4 linked regions of the Oryzias latipes genome follow. The protein of the gene in region 3 interacts with the protein of the main gene of each other region in a pairwise test. Links are inferred from orthologs where the notes say so. Each region holds a gene or a part of one and is shown on either strand. Other genes may lie near its edges.

Region 1 (4,131 bases), on a different chromosome or scaffold from region 3:
CTCCCTCCACAGGAACTCATCTCTGGAGACGGCCTGCCACTGTCTGCAGGTCAGACCAGCTCTCAGCACGGCAGTGTGAGACAGACGCAAGAAGATCTCCAAAACCAAGCTGTCGGGCAGAAGTAGACAGCCCTCCATCCTAACATCCTGAAACACACGAGTACTTTATGTTAGCTTTATGGCTGTTTGCTTCTGAGTCACAAGAACACACACACTTTAAGTACGTAACTTGTTCCTATTCATTTCTTTCCACTCAGCTTGGCTTTTCTCCAAAGCTCTGCAGCAGATCTCTTTCTCCACATTCAGAAATAACATGTAGTGTTGTGAAATTTACTGAGCTGAACCAAAGCCATGCTTCTGCTAATAAAGACCACAAGCTGACTTTTAATTAAACAAAATGGTTTTATTGCAACCGAATGAAGCCTTTATTCTCTGTTAATTTAAAGATTTGAAACTAACCAACCAATTCAGTGGCCTTGTGGTACAGTTTCTGCCCTGAGACAGGAAGGTTGTAAGTTGAAATCTACTGTGGAGTTGTACCAAAGACTAAAAATAGGGTATGCTTTACACTCGTAAGATAAGATGAACTTTATTGATCCTGCTGTGGGGAAATTCAATTGTTACAGCAGCTCTGGGGATCAAGCATTAAGGTGCAAGGAAAAATAAAATGGGTAAAACAATCACAGGTAAGGTAAAAACAACATTAAATAAAATACAATTCTTCAAAAACTCTCATTATAAACACTGTAATGAACTGACGGAGAAAATGAAAAGCCCCGGAACTAAAGAAAAAAGCAGTAGAGCATTGAATGTTTTTGTCAGGAATAAACCATTATTGCATCTGTTGTAAGACTGTTTAGTTGTCCAGTCCAACAGCGGTTGGAATGAAGGAGCTGCGGTACATCAGCATGAAGGGCTGGATTTGGGTTAAATCCAGAGCACAGCTGTGTCTGCAGCTCACTGCTGCCCAAAGGGATGGGTAAAATGCAGAGAACAAATGTCACACACCAAGGTACGTGTATGACAACTAATGGGCCTTTAACTTTCAATAAAAGCAGTACTTTAAAGTTTGCATCAACTTACTAAATAATCCTAATAATTTTCTTTGTATCAATCTCTCCTTATAAACCTTTCCCTTTGCTATTAATCATGGCACATTTGGGTATATCTATAAACATTTCAGCAAACGTATTTTTAAGTACCCTATCCAAAACTATCAAAAATAATTGATATTTAAAAATCACAAAAAAATGCTACTTTGTAGTACCAGGCGTCAACCTGAGGCTCCCTAATGTTGTCATGTTTATATTCAAGAGAAAAAGGATGAAGAAACACCAAACAGATAATTATAAAAAATAAAATCCATGTTTGACTTTACTTTCTTGCATTTTTAATTTAAGTAAATTTGCTGCAGCAAAAGGATCTTATTTAAACAAGGTGTGTTTTATTTTGAAAGGAACTCGTATGTGCATTTGTCTAGAGTAAAATAAATTACCGGTAAAATATTCATATATAGGAAAAATATCACACTGTCTTAATTAAATTATTGTAAATACATAAAAACTACATTTTATTAGTAAATGGCTTAAAGGTTACAAAAACATAAATAAAGGGTATTTTCTAAACAAAGTGAGACTTTGCAGCTCTTGTTGGGTTTTGGTGAGTAAAAAACTGGACCAAATGGCTCTTTTACTGTTAAAGGTTACAGTCCTCTATATATAATTACTTAAAATGTTTAATTCTCATGCCATAATGAAACTATTCAGAGCACTTCCCAACTATTAGATGCTAAAGAACAAATAAAATCTTGCTGCTTTTCGGGCCAGTAGATCTATCATCTAAGCGTTCCTAATGTAGCCAGTTTTGGCAATAAATGTTCCAAAAATAAAACTCGTTGTTCGTGTTTGAAAAGCAACAGCTAAACAAAACGTAACTAACTGTCATATAAGAGTTTTCTCTTTTAATCCGGTTTTGGACAAACTTTAAATTTTGGGAGTCAATTTTTCTACTTCTTCTAGTTCTTCAGAAAGTCGCGTCCTAAGCCAAAACAAAAACAAAACGGAACTCTTAATAAAAAATAAAAAAGATGAATATATGAACTCTTAAAGTGTGTTCTCCCTCCCCCTACCCCATTTATTTATGTAACTACAATAACAATAACTAATGTCTTAAACGTTTTCCTTCATAGCTTGTGTGGCTCAACATATTTTGCTGAAGAGTTGTTTTTCTATGTAGTTCAATGGTGAATCCTTATCCTGTTTACACCAACAGCAAAATCGGTTATCGTATGTGTCAACATGAACTACTCGGATATATATCAATTTTAGCGCGTTTCTAATCGATTTACGATATTTCTTTGCAGCTAAAACAAACAAATATATCTATCTAGCTAGTTAAACCGGCTAACTTGTTAAGAGCTAACTAGCTGCTAGCTGACATTTGTCTCAACTTTTAGCTAACGAGGCTAAATTGTCGCAACAAGACGCGGTTTGGCTCCCAAACAGGCAGTGTCATCTCACGAGTTGACGAGTTAGTTTGCGTTCAATTAAAAAACAAGCGATGTGAAATGTGACTCACCTGCTGATCAAAGTTTTTTGAAGAGAAACATTTAGGCTGCGTTGAAGGCTAACCGCACAAAATGAAAACAATCGCCCAGCAACACAGCGGAGCTTAACAAGCAGATAGCAGAGGCATCGATGCGGAAAGACCAACTCAATCGATTCAATCTTTTCGCTGCTTGAAGTTAGTTCCTTTTTATTTTATTTTGTTTTTTTTTTGTTTTACTTTCTTTATAGTTGCTGTATTAAGGATTCTATAAACTGATGTTTATTTCTTCCCATGATTCCCCTCGGCATTCACATATTTATTTGACGTGCTTTTTATAAATAAAGTTTTTATGAAGTTTTTTCTTCCCATGTGAAATATATTTGAATAAGAACATTAATGCACAAGTTAGGCTTTACTCGACCCAAGAGGAACAAATGATGCATTTTATTTTATTATTTTTGTAATGTTCACCCTTGTCACATTTTAAGTGGAACTAGACCTGCACTTTAAATTTTTAAATCATTAAAATTAAATCATTTTTAAATCATGTTGTCAGACTTCTACATGGTCTTTTATTGTGTTAATCTACACTCACAGCCACTTCATTGGGTACACCATGCTAGTACCAGGTTGGACCCCCTTTTGCCTTCAAAACTGAGAGTCTGATCCATATTGACATGATAGCATCCCGTAGTTGCTGCAGATTTGTTGGTTGAACATCCATGCTGCCAATCTCCCGTTCTACCACATCCCAAAGGTGATCTGTTGGGTTGAGATTTGGTGACAGGGGAGGCCATTTGAGTCCAGTGAACTCATTATTTTGTTCCAGAAACCAGTCTGAGATGATTCTGCTGGAAGTCACCATAAGAAGACGTTACACTGTGGTCATAAAGGGATGGATATGGTCAGCAACAATACTCAGGAAGGTTGTGGCATTGTATTCATGCTCAATTGGTACTAAGAGGCCCAAAGTGTGCAAAAAAATGTACCCCACATGAATACACCACCAACAGCCTGAACCGTTGATACAAGGTAAGATGGATTCATGCCTTCATGTTATTGAAGGCAAATTCTGACCCCACAATCTGAATGTGGCAGCAGAAATCCAGAATAATCAGACAAGGCATCATTTTTCTAATCTTCTATTGTCCAATTTTGGTGAGCCTCAGTTTCTTCTTCTTAGCAGACAGGAGTGCCACCTGGTGTGGTCTTCTGCTGCTGTAGCTACTCTGTCTACAGGTTGGATGTGTTGTGCCGTCAGATATGCTCTTGGTTGAAGACCTCAGTTGTAACCAGTGCTTATTTGAATTACTGTTGCCTTTCTATCAGCTGAAACCAGTCTGGCGATTCTCCTCTGACCTCTGGCATCAACAAGGCATTTCCACCCACAGAACTGTCACTCACTGGATATTGTCTCTTGTTCAAACCATTCTCTGTGAACTGTAGATATGGCTGTGGATGGAAATCCCAGTAGATTGGCAGTTTCTTAAAGACTAAGACCAGCATTCAAAGTCACGTAATAATCTTTCTTCCCCATGCTGATGCTTGGTGCAGCAGATCATCTTGACAATGTCCACATGCTTA
Region 2 (4,226 bases), on a different chromosome or scaffold from region 3:
TCATTTTGGTTTTCTAACCTTATTTAACCCAAAACATTTATTTTTTAACCTCGCTCAAAAGGATATTGGATGGAATTTTAAAAAACTGCTGTTTGTGACATACTTCAGCAGAACAAGTGGATCTGGAACAGAATTCGGCGTCCTCTAAAGCCAGTCGGTACTGCTTGAGAGCCATGTATGCTTCCGCTCTAGACAGACGAGCCGCCATCATGTGTGGATCTGTAAGAGAGAAATTAATATTCATGCCATGTTTGTTGATATCGTATAATGTTTTAGTTTCCATCCATGGCAGAGAAGAGATAAATCATTTACCAATAAGATACCATAAACTTCAAAACAAACATGAATGTGTGTCATGGACCAGAAAAAAGTACGAGTCTGGTTGCGCAAGTAAGTTCCCGTTTCCTGAAACCGAAAGTTTTCCTTAAGGTCATACATTACATAATCATATCTCCTTAAATTTTGCAAAAGTGTCGATAATGTCAGGAAAAAATTGATTTAGAAGGAATTACATAAAAAGACTTAAGTTGACTTTCTGTTTCCAAATAAATCATGTGGTTTTTTTTTTTTTTTTTTTAATGGAAGTAAGCCTTCTAATCAAAGCATATATTTTTTAAGCAGAAATTGATATTAGAAGAATAATTTTCATTTTGCTGGATGCTACTTATTAAAGCTGTGTTTGAAATACACAATCTGAACAAATGGAACTTTGAGAGAATGAAGATTTCCATATCGGGTAGAGAAATAACTAAATAGTACACTTTCAAATGAATTTTTTTGCTCCAATAAATGTCAACAGAACATTTTTTTAAACATGACCAGGTGCCTTTATGATCATTACAAGGGTTATCACTACGCTGCACCTTCATGTCATCATGTTTTGTCTTGGTGTAGTCCACCTACTTTTTTTAATTCATTGTACTTTTTCAACACAATGTCACTTTGCATACCTAATACAGCATAATAATAGCAACAACAATTGTAATAAAAAAAAATTATTATTTGGTTAAATAATCACTTTTTTTAAGTAGTGCACATCGGCATTTACTCCAAATCATATTTTAAAAATTAATATTTGCTTATTGATCAGGGGGAAAAAACCTGGAACGGTCTTAATTTGTTTACATAGTTTGAAATATTTTGTTTAAAAAAATTAATAAAGAATGTTTTAAAGTGTTTTTAAATAGGTAATCTAAGCTTTGTTAACATACAATTGTATAGTATGTTTATTACAACAGTAGGTTGAAAGTGATACTATATCTTTTGAAGGCCCAATTGTTATTCTAAACTACTATGCAACTGTTGAATAATATTAAATATTCTTACAATCATTTCCTCTCAATGGGATCAATAAATTTGCATTCAATTCTATTCTAATAAACTGGTTAACTTGAAGTGGCTAGTAAACATTTTTTTAACTATTGAATTATGTAGGACTTCAAAAAATATATTATTTATCTTAGATTTTATTTTTTTACTTGTTTGATTTTAGCCGGTGAAGATTTTTGTCATAGATTTGAGTTAAAAAAAAAATCATTTCTCCCTATGAGGATATTGTTATTGAAAACCCCCGCTTTGCTGCTTTGCTAGTAGTAGGTGTAAGTACTGGCCGAAAAAAAACTATTTCTCGCCCCATGAATATACGTTTGCAGCCGTAAAAAAATATTTATGAAAGCATGGTTCGTAACAGCTCACACAATTACAAAATCCCCCCCCCCCCCTTTTTTAAGTTGCAAAACCTGCCCAAAGTGTCACGACCTGCCTTACACAACTTTCCTCAAACGCGCATGCGCAGTCTCCCCACTTTCATAAGCGAGGCCCTGCCATCTCCCGAGATCCCGAGAGCCGCGAACCACTTCAGCGTTTGTAGTGAAAATGTGGGTCAACAAATGTCACCAAAAGTATCCAATCTGAGCTTAGTGAAAATAAAAATAAAAAAACCGACAGAGCCCCGCGAACCTCTGAACTCCACCAGAAAGTCATAGATACCGATGAATAAAGAGCCTTCTTGTGACCGACCTTAGTTAGAGACGTGTGTGTTATGAGACTCACCTGACCGGAGAACAGCAGTCGCGTGTGAAACAGCTTCTCTGTAGCGTTTCCTTTTACACATGGCGTCCACTTCACTTAATGTTTTCAACTTCTTCAGCTCCTCTGGGAAACATTTTTCTACAAGTCCGCACAGAGTTACATTCAGTTTCTCCTCGCCGCTGACAGGTTCACAGCACAGTTTGCATTTCGAAAGCAACCGCCGGTGCAAACATCTTCTACAGTACGAGTGTCCGCAGGCTACGGTCACGGGTTCGCCCAAAAAGCCCCGACAGTTGGGACACTCCAGCAACACCGAGTCCTCCCCTTCTTCCTCACCCAGGCCTGTGGGTCCTTCTCGTCCGGCCGTTTTCGTCTTGAAATTGCGGAGAATACAGTCCACGAAGGTGCTGAGCTGCTCGGGTCGCACGGGGCCATAGCGCACGGCCGCGGAGAACCAGTCAATGGCTTCCTTTAGACAGTCTTTCGAAGCCAATGCGTTTCCTTTCTCCAAAATGAGCTCACAATGATGGGAATGGTCCTCCTCCTCTCCCCCTGAGACCGGGTCCGCACCGATAAAGAAGCTCAGTCTTTCCTCCGGTGCCTCCGCCACTTGTGGTTGTAGCGACATTTTAGCATGAACGAGTCTGGGAATGCTATAAATGCGGAGCTTTTCGTCTAGCTGTGTGTTTATACATGGCGATAGCTGCCGCGGTCTTTGACAAATTACAGAACTGTTTTTCTCACAGATACTCTGATTGTTACATAAAAAAATCTGCATCACGTGAACAGCACGCTGAGTCCTGATTGGTCAAACTGTCTCGGTTACAAAACATGTGCTGTAAAGTTTCATAACTACGGAAGGGACGTATTAAAGTGCGCTGGATGTCGACGCCGTCAGAAACATGGGCTTCAATTTTACACTGTTATAGTTTATTATGTGATTCTTAGAGAACGGCAGGTAATCACATATTTCAGCAATTAATACATTTAGGAAAACAGGAGAGTTATCAATTCAACCACAAAGTAATAAAAGCAAAGTTACCTAGTCATAAAAAAGAACGAAATAAAAAAGTAATCATATTTTTTAGAGTAATCATAATTATAAATACAGACTAAAGGAATCCGACCCAATTGGATGGAGATAAAAAAAACATAGAAAAGTTGCATGATATTGTTTTTCTGCATTTTGAAAAATCTCACTAAATCAAATTTTTTAGATGTTTAGTATGATGTACAATTAACAATTAAAGTGGGGATTTATTTGTACGTATTTAAAAGGATAAAAGTAAATATAAGGGAATAAAGCACAATTTTTTTGGCAAGAAATGTTTTTTTTTTTTTTTGCTTAGCCATCAGACTGAGGTCAAACATTAATCCTTATAATAGTAAAATATATTGCAAAATGTATGAGCACTCCTTATGTTTACTTAAGGTAATTTAATACTGATTTAACCTATTATACAACACCAAAATTAGAATTTAGCAACAAAACAAAACAAAAAAGCTTACTATTTTTCCCAGTCAATACAATGAATACAATTTAAATAAACAAGTCAGTTTAAGGACTTCTTTGTTCCTTTTTATGAATATGGCTCATAAATGATATAAGCCTCACATTTACTGTCTTAGAATATTAGAAAATTTCATCAGACTAATCAAAAATGTATCTTTTCATCCCATATTTGTGCCAAGTCCTGCTGAAAAATATAAGCAGCATCTCCACACACCTTGTCAGAAGAGGGCAGTGTAAAGTGCTTTAGAATTTCCTGACAGATGCTTGCATTGATTGTGGACGTCAGAAAAGTCAACTGTCATCTGCAACACCAGCAGATGCCAATGACCTTAAATCATCATACTGGACTTCAAGCAACATGGATTCTATGCCTCTCCACTTTTGTTCTAGACCCCAGAACTCCAGACTCCAAAACCTTAAATTCCAAATGGAATACAAAATTACTGAAAATATGAGTTTGGACCCTCAGCAACAGCCCAGTTCTTTTTTCTCCTTAGTCCCAGTTAGACACTTCTAACTTTGTCTTTAGGTTCAAAAGTGGCTCGATATGAGAAAAGGAGCATTTGCCACTTGTGATCTCTAAATTTATATAGATTTTGTTCGGCAATCCTTTGAAAGCTGCGGTGATCCCTGTTTCTGTTACAGCTTTTTCTACCACTCATTTTCCTTTAATGCTTTCATA
Region 3 (4,291 bases):
CAGAAAAACAAGTGACAAAAACTACATGGCAGCAAAAATCCATGATGATCGGGCAAAGTGGTCCATAAATAATACTGTAAAACACAGATGATTATCATAGTAAACACTGTCATTAAGCTAATGGTGCCTTAAATTCCCACTTTGATCTATTTTCTAAGCGGTCTTTAAATTGTGATAATGCAGTTTCTAGCCTTAATTAAAAAAAAAAAGCTGTTGTTTTATATAACATAGTTTCTGCACAGCAGCAGGAGTTTATCAGAAATGTATGTCTGATTTGTTGGCGGGACTGTTGGGGCTGAGTAAGCCTGTCCCCATTTCCCAACATCAATCTGTTTACAAGCTCTCCTACTAGCTTACAGCCCCACACCCCACACAAAACCCAAGATAACATTAACGGTGCAACAAAAATCGTGAGTAATATTGGTGCTTTGCAACAGTACAGTTTGGAGCCACATGCCAGTTCGAGAGGGAAAAAAAAGACATACATGGATCTATTTGTCTGCAAGCGGATGCATCAGAATGAAGTGGCGCAGGACGGTTGTGGCCTGCAGTTGTAACTTTTATGTCACACTTAAGAGCTTTTTCAACGTCATTTTTGTGTCTGCTTCTGATTCACAATGATTTAAATTTAAAAAACACAATTTAAGATTAATTTTCTCTTTATATAAAATCTCTGTCATGAGAAAAATTCCACAAAAACCCGTACCGTTTCCATCGGAGTGGGTCTTTAATAATCCTCAACAATGTGGGGTACATTGAAACTCTATTTCCTTCTCTCTGGCTTCTCGTTGTGCTTTCTCTGATGAGATACATATCTTCTCTTTGTCTTTTAAGAATGTGACAGCTACTGTTTAACCCAAACAAAGCTCTGTTGCTAATGCCACCCATGCAAGAATCACTTCCTTTTGTGTGAAAGAATGTCTCCTTAAAAAGGAGAACTCAGGGTGCTGACAGGACCAAACACACAAGCTTTTATTCTCAGACATCAAAAATGAAAACACAGAACTTTGATGAACTATAATTGATCACTAGTTCAAAAACAAACTAAACATTTATGTTAGGATGAGTTCATAAAAAAGTGAAACATTAGATTGAAATCCCTTTTTAGCTTTGTCTGTGCTCCCCTGCAGCAAAAACCTCATGAATTTTAATATAAAAAGGATCCTTCAAAAAGCCCCACAAAAGAAGAGACATCAACAGGGAAAAATCCACATCTATTCAAAAACATTTAAAAAAAACTAACCCGAGGTTTCCTCTTATGTCAAATGAAATCTGTGGACCAAAACAAATTTTAGGTTTTGTTTGCTACAGGGCTGTTCATCTCTGACATGAGGATGGTTAAAGAAACCACTCATCTATGTTGATGGTTATGGTCAGAGGCAAAGCAAACCTTCAGAATGATGCTTTAAGGTGTTTCCTTTCTTTCTGCTCTTAGTGATTTAGGTTGGGTTGATGTACATTGAATTCCTTCAGGGTCACTCACCTCCTTGAAGTTGAAACCTCTCGATTGGTCGAGACTGAGCGTCTGCTCCCACCTGCTCCGGCTCTCTCTGCTCCTGGGTTTTGTGGCCTCCTGAAGACTCTTGGTGGCTGGTTGTAGCCTTGTGAAGGCACGTGGTAGGGGGAGCGGTAAGAAGAAACTGCATCTTGATTGGTTGAGGGAAAATCTGGATGATAAAAAGGAAGCGAGCGGGCAGGTTGCCCTGGAGCAGCAGCAGGTGAGTTCAGATACAAGGGCAATCCTGGGTTGTTATTGGTGGAGACTGATGGAGAGTTATACGATGGATGTTGCCCAGGGTGACGAGACTGGTAGTATGGGCTCACAGGTGAGGTCGCAGGGCGTCCGTTGCCCCCAGGGAGATATCCTGCCCAATTGAGTGGGGAGAAGGGGCGGGTCTGAGGAGGTGGAGGGGCCAGACACAGCCTGCTTCTCAGTGAGACACCTACGCCGCAAGTTTGAGAACATTCTGACCACTCCCCCCAGAGGGACCACACGCCCTCCACAGGCTCCACCTCAAAAACCTGTCTGGACCTACGAGAGGCCGCCTGAAAACACAAACACACAGAGACAAAAAAAACCATCTGAGCATGCAATAATTTGTTTGAGAACATTAAACGTTATATATATTTTTAAATACAATTTTCAATACACACAGGGGAGATATAGAGTTGGTAAAACACTAAAAATGTAATTTAATAGGGGGAAAAATGTGGTACAAAAATAGAACTAGGAGGATATCAGAGAAACTGCAGATTTAAATTATAGAGTTTTAAGTTTGGATTGAAAAAGGAAAGAACTACAGTAACAGATATCACAAGGAAGAGAATTCTGAAAGCTCTGCCACACATGAAGCTGAGATCTGAAATGTACAGATGCTGCACATCTCAGGATTGTAGAATAAAAAGTAAAGGGGTGATGAAGTTCAGGGCTTTAATTATTTTCTTCAAAAACTGTCTGGAATTCATTTTTGTTCAAAGACGAACTTCTTAAGCAGACGAGGATCAATGGTGCTAAGAAGAACTAAATAAACATTTGTTGTCTGGATTTCCTTACCGTAATTTAAGGCCAAACAGCCACATTTAACATATAATTTACTCTCCCTGAGGCCACAATCTCTTTTATTCAGAGATCTGTCGTTTTTTTTTCCTCTTACGTTCTTAAAATCTAAAAACAATATCAAAAAAGCAGCTGATTATACCTGGATGATATCATTTTAATCTCTTCTAGTACTTTTTCCTGATGTGTCCCATAAATTGTACTATACTGACTGACTAAAAGCTGCTGTAAGTTATAGAAGTGAAACCTTTTCCATCGCAAAATCCTAACTCTCTGCTGGGATTTCTTTCTCTGCCGTCTCGTGACTTTCCTTCCTCTGAGGCAAAAATATAAATCCTGAATTCTTCATACTGCGCTTTGGCTCAAAGACACTGTGTCACCTGCCAACGCCACAAGAGCAGCTGAACAAACTGACTGGAGTTGGTGGGATATGTCCACAACAAAATCAGTTAAGGCTTTGATTCACTCCTGTGAGGTTGTAGATAAATGTTTTTCCTCTCATTTCATAACCGAGGCACTGGCCTGGTTGGCAGTGTGGCAAACATGCGAGCTGAACAAAAGTTTCCATTGAGAAGGCACCAAAATCTGCGCTCAACTTCCCCTGCACTCTCTGCAAAAGCATGCGTGCTTCAGGGGTGTGGACATGGGCAGACACAGATAAGAATATGAAACAAACAGTTGGTGGATGGGTAAAGGAGGACAGGTGTTGAGATGCAAACTTGTATTTTCATGCACACTTGTTAAGTCCTGCCTCACGGGCTCCCATTAGTCCGAGAAAATGAAAGAGAAAGGTTCCAGTGGAAGGGAGTTTGCACAGGTTTGTGGGTACAAAAAAAGGTTTTCGATGTATTGAATCCCACCAAGAGGTGTTCTTAAATCTCTTTTTGCAAGTTTAAAGGGCCTAAATTATGCTAAATCAACTTTTTTTAGCTTTTAAGAGTATTATAATGTTAATTCCTCACAAAAAAAAAACAATCCCAAAGCACTATTTTTTATCTGTTCATGCATTTCTTAGTATTCCTCTAAAAACCTGTACCCCTCCCAACCCATGTAAACAAGCGGGTTCTCACATTGTGATGTAGATCAGTGAGGAACCGCCCCTTCCAGGAAGAGTCTGCACTGCCAGCTCCGCCCACAGGATAACACACACCTTCTTAGCGGTGATCAGCAAAAGCCCCTTCATTTTATATGTGCAATATGAACATCCATCTTTGCAAAAGTTTGGATGTTGTTTATTTTCGTGGGCGAGACGCAGACACGCTGCCGAGGCCAGCTCTAGGTTGACGTCATGAAATGTGCGACACCCAAATGAGCGAAAGCCGGTGCCTCAGATATCAAGTTGTCCTAGTTATGGGCTGGAAAAGAACTCAGGAAAGGAATTAATATTTGATTAGAAAATTTGCTATTCAGTGTGCCAAAGGTAATCTATTATCATATATATGAATGTAGATTACTCAAAAAAGCTTAAGAATAGCATGCTATAGGCCCTTTAAATCAAGTTTGAAGCATTTGGATACAAATCCAAGACAAGTCTATAGTCCGAAAACTTCTAAAATAATATTCTATTGTCACAAATTGTTGTTAAACTACTTTAAACAACTTGTGGGGACACAATAACAGCCAGTGGTGTGCAAACGCTGTGTAAAGACAGTTTTCATTTATTTTTTCTGACATTGATGTCCTGGAGCTAAAAAAAAAAAGAGGAAAAAAAACAGATAAACTTTGTCCACTTGC
Region 4 (4,002 bases), about 8.7 Mb from region 3:
AGAATTAGCGCTTCCTAATACTTTTCATCAAAAACAACTAAACAAAGAGAGAAAAACTCTCCAACCTTCTTCTTGTTGACCCGGAGAAGGGTAAATGTGGTGAGTAGCCTTAGACTTGTCCTCAGTGATGGAGCCCTGGGAAGTAGAGCAGCAATGGACAGCATTAAAAATGATAGTTTTTATCTTTTAAAATTTACATTTTCTTTATTTAGACTCACCTGGTGTCTTTTGATGATGTCTTTGAGCTTACTGGCTTGTTTGGGTTCAACGTCAGGTGACAAAAAGACGATGGGCCGAGTCAAACAGTTATTCTACAGTAAATAAAAAATTAATTAATTAATAAAATTTTACATTAAAATAAATATCCATTCAGACGACATAAAGGTATTTAAAAAAAAGCATCAGAGAAAGCAGTGAAACTTGCAGATGAGAGCAGTTTTGTAATAGTCGATAATTAAATTCTAAATGTAAAGACCCTCTAGTTTCAGCATCAGGTAAAGTTTTTCCACCTCATACCTGTACGAGGTTCTTCTCTACATTAAGGAACATTTCCACATTCCTGTCCATTCGAGACGGATTCTGCAGATCAAAACGGCGCCTGAAAGTACAACAAAAGTCATTTTGTAACGTAAAAACAACAAATATGTCAGCACGACAGATTCATCATTACATTTTTCCTGCAATATGTATTAGAAACAAACTCACCATCCCTGCTCGCTCTTAAACTTATAGACTGATCCCAGGATGTGACAGAGAGCCCCTCCTGCCTTAAAATCCATAAAACATTTTGCCTGGTGGACAGAAAGGAATAATCAGGATAGTTTTAGTTAACTTTAAACTGTACCATGTTAGGGGTTATCACATCTGTGTTTTGTAATCAATGTGCTGGCTTACAGGCAACTTAGTAAGAGCAGGATTGTTGACCCTGCGTCCAAACGCATCCTCCTGAAACTGCAGCAATTGGACCACCAAACCGGCCAACGATTTACTGGATGGGGAATCGTTCTGGACATACTGGACCCAAAAAGAGACAAATGTTTGAAAAAACAAAACAAAAACATTCTTAACAAAAAAGTTTCTACAACAGACACACCATTACTCTTGACATCAATTTATTATTTAATGCAAAAATAAAAAAATAAAAGTCTGTTTTTGCCTATTAATAACAAATGTATTTTTGCTGAGATTTTAGATCAAGTTAGGGGCCTAATTTGACTAAGATTTGATTTATTCTGCAAACAGAACTTTTACCGTCGGAATTTTTAACCTACAAATACCAGGACCGGTTTAGAAGACATATTCATGTGACAAAACGTTTTAAGAAAACAAGATTTACCCATAAAACCTCAGTTTTATTCTAATGTGAAAAAAGTGATCGAAAAAAGGTTTGACTGCTTTTGCTGCAGCAGCTTCAAATCTTTGGAATCTCCCACTCTTTTCCTCACCATCTAATTATAAGTCTTCTCTTAAAATAAATTTTTTACTTGGCATGTATACGTATTAAAAGGGGACTTTATTTAATCTATAATTTTATTTCAATACTATCACTTTTTAAAAGTTTTTTTTTCCTATTGTCTGCAATTTTACAGCACTTTAGGTTTGCAGGAACTCGCTGATAAAGATTGATTGTTCCAGTTGTCTTTATAACGATGAGAAGGTTATGATTAAAAAAAGGTAAAGCTGAACATGCAATGTTTCTTTTCTAGACTTGGCTAAAATGTACAGGAAATTATATTTATACGAACTTGATTTTTTTTTTTTTTTTTTGGAAAATAGTTTTAAAAATAAAATAAAAGTTATAAAGGTGCGTGATATTTCATGAAACTGCTGAGTTACTATGTAAATATTGAAAGAGAGTGGGAGTGAGGGTCTAAATACAGGAAAGAGTCTTTGTTTGCAAACCCACCCACTGGTGGGCGAGTAAAAACTGGAGCTGAACATGCAGCTGCTACTGTACTGTTGTTGACAAAACCCATCCAGCTCTTAACTCAAAACATACAGAATCTTTTAAATCCACGGGCAAACCAGATCCATGCTTCCCGTCAAGGCTGCATGTTGTTATAGTAGTGTAATGAAAAGCATTTCATTTATTTTGTTCATGGAGTCCCGTGACTTTTCTGTTAGCTTCTGTCTGAGGCCTGTTCCTGTACGAAATGCACTATACTATAGTACCTTTCAATTTCCACTACCCGAGTAAATACTACGTGTGATAATAACGTGAAAACAGCATTTGTGTCATTAAGGGGCTGTCTGTAAACATTTGAGCTGCGGCTGCTATGTGTGTCGTCTATAGCGAATTAGCAGTTAGAAAGCTAATCATGTGCTAGCTAATTGATAAACAGCTTCGTTCAGGCCAAGTATTAGCATGCTTCTAGTTTACGTTTTTCCTGTTAGCATCTATTTTTTAAGTCCTTGGTCCTTAAACAAAATTTAAACTACACACACCTTCATAAATCTTTGCTATTCCAATCGTTGAATAGCTAAAGTTAGCTGAAACACCAGCACTCCATTGTGCTAGCCAGACGCGGGCCGTCTCTTGGACTGAAGCAACTAGTACTAGCTTACCTTCTTGTAGTGCTTTCCAATCCAGAGTCGAACCGATTCCAGCTGGGACACAGTTTCTGAGCTCTCCCAAAATTTCGTTGATGGACCACCATCTTTCTTTCTTCCTACTGCTGTTCCGCTGCCGACAGGGCCAGATGCTGGTCCGCCCGAGCCTGTTCCTGCCGTTGTCGCCGCCATCGCCATTGTATGTTTAGCTCGTTGTCTTTCTCTCCCACAGCGTACCGCACTGTGCAAGTTTTTGAATGATATTGCGCAGCCGCAAACATCTTCCCGCATTTTGAATCTCGCGAGACTCGCACTTGACTGGGCTTTTGGGAAATGTATTGAAATAAGATGCTGGAAAAATTACTGGGGAAAAAAAGATTAGGCTGTGTCCGAATTCCTACCCTAATCCCTAACTACTAAAACCCTATATAGTGCGGCACTATATAATTTTGATTACTCGGTCAAGTTAGTTTTTTTTTCTTAAAATCTCCCAACATTGTGGTTGTTTAACCCCTACAAAAAAAGGTAATCGTAATCAACCCATCTTTTTCATTCAGTGTGACCAATTATTGTGGTTTGATAAATAAAATTATTTCTAACACGTGTTACCACTGCTTTTTAAACAACAAACTTCTTAGACTATTTTCAGTCTTCCATTTATCGACATTACTGCCTATAAAAGTCCCAAACAATCAATTTAATGGTTCAGGGAAAATCTTGGGTGGGATGAGACAAATAACTTAATCGATGAGCAAAAACTATTTTAATATTTAAATGAAAATGACAGTTCTTTTGTGTTTTCTTGCAAACATATATACTTTTTTTTCTGTCTGCCTCTAAGCTGGGTGTTGAGAAAAATAATTGTACGAACAATATGTGAATTTTTACACAAGATATCAACATATAGACAATGATCTGTTGTTAATGTAAATATTACAGCATACACACAAGTTACTAAATTTAGGTTAAATACAAAATGGCAATTCAACCAAACAGCATCATGGCAGTTCCTGACCAGTAGATGGCAGAAAAAAAACATGTTTGCTCGTTTTCAGGAAAATATGTGTAAATCTGAATAAAACAAAGCAAATAATAATATTATATAAGAATAAGAATAATCAGTTTTTGTGAAAGAGGACAGAGTAAAGAGTTGCAGTAATTAATGCAGGAAGTGACAAGGCTGTGGACAAGTACAGATGCAGAATGGGGGTTGAGAACAGGCAAAAGTGGTTGATTTTTTGCAGGACTAAATTTGATGACTGAGCCATGTTATTGATATTATTTGACACCCAGACTCTTAACTTGAGGGAAGCAGGGAACTGTGGTGGAATAAACCCTGATAAAAAATGTTTAACTTTACAAAGTGTGGAGCTAGAAAAGTAAAAAAATAACAAAGAATGGAAACATTTTAAAGACAGCTTAAGACAGCTGAAGTCATTGCAAAATTAAAGT

What was found. The genes of interacting proteins can lie anywhere in the genome.
Region 1: the proteins of thrombospondin type-1 domain-containing protein 4 (region 3) and fbxw5 interact in binary tests that used the Homo sapiens proteins (3 or more experiments, as listed by UniProt). The two-hybrid records come from large-scale screens. The link is inferred for Oryzias latipes from reciprocal best matches to the Homo sapiens genes ADAMTSL4 and FBXW5.
Region 2: the proteins of thrombospondin type-1 domain-containing protein 4 (region 3) and lonrf1 interact in binary tests that used the Homo sapiens proteins (3 or more experiments, as listed by UniProt). The two-hybrid records come from large-scale screens. The link is inferred for Oryzias latipes from reciprocal best matches to the Homo sapiens genes ADAMTSL4 and LONRF1.
Region 4: the proteins of thrombospondin type-1 domain-containing protein 4 (region 3) and smarcc1 interact in binary tests that used the Homo sapiens proteins (3 or more experiments, as listed by UniProt). The two-hybrid records come from large-scale screens. The link is inferred for Oryzias latipes from reciprocal best matches to the Homo sapiens genes ADAMTSL4 and SMARCC1.

The regions. Positions count from the first base shown.
Region 1 is NC_019870.2:12,262,823-12,266,953, reverse strand, and holds the start of fbxw5 (F-box/WD repeat-containing protein 5), read right to left. Parts: upstream 2,801-4,131; 5' UTR 2,578-2,800; intron 148-2,577; 5' UTR 139-147; coding exon 1-138. UniProt on the Homo sapiens protein: Substrate recognition component of both SCF (SKP1-CUL1-F-box protein) and DCX (DDB1-CUL4-X-box) E3 ubiquitin-protein ligase complexes.
Region 2 is NC_019859.2:13,843,596-13,847,821, forward strand, and holds the start of lonrf1 (LON peptidase N-terminal domain and RING finger protein 1), read right to left. Parts: upstream 2,801-4,226; 5' UTR 2,660-2,800; coding exon 2,053-2,659; intron 220-2,052; coding exon 104-219; intron 1-103.
Region 3 is NC_019874.2:19,012,051-19,016,341, reverse strand, and holds part of thrombospondin type-1 domain-containing protein 4, read right to left. Parts: intron 2,047-4,291; coding exon 1,484-2,046; intron 1-1,483. UniProt on the Homo sapiens protein: Positive regulation of apoptosis. May facilitate FBN1 microfibril biogenesis.
Region 4 is NC_019874.2:27,744,977-27,748,978, forward strand, and holds the start of smarcc1 (SWI/SNF complex subunit SMARCC1), read right to left. Parts: upstream 2,801-4,002; 5' UTR 2,749-2,800; coding exon 2,566-2,748; intron 1,015-2,565; coding exon 895-1,014; intron 792-894; coding exon 706-791; intron 599-705; coding exon 517-598; intron 312-516; coding exon 219-311; intron 136-218; coding exon 66-135; intron 1-65. UniProt on the Homo sapiens protein: Involved in transcriptional activation and repression of select genes by chromatin remodeling (alteration of DNA-nucleosome topology).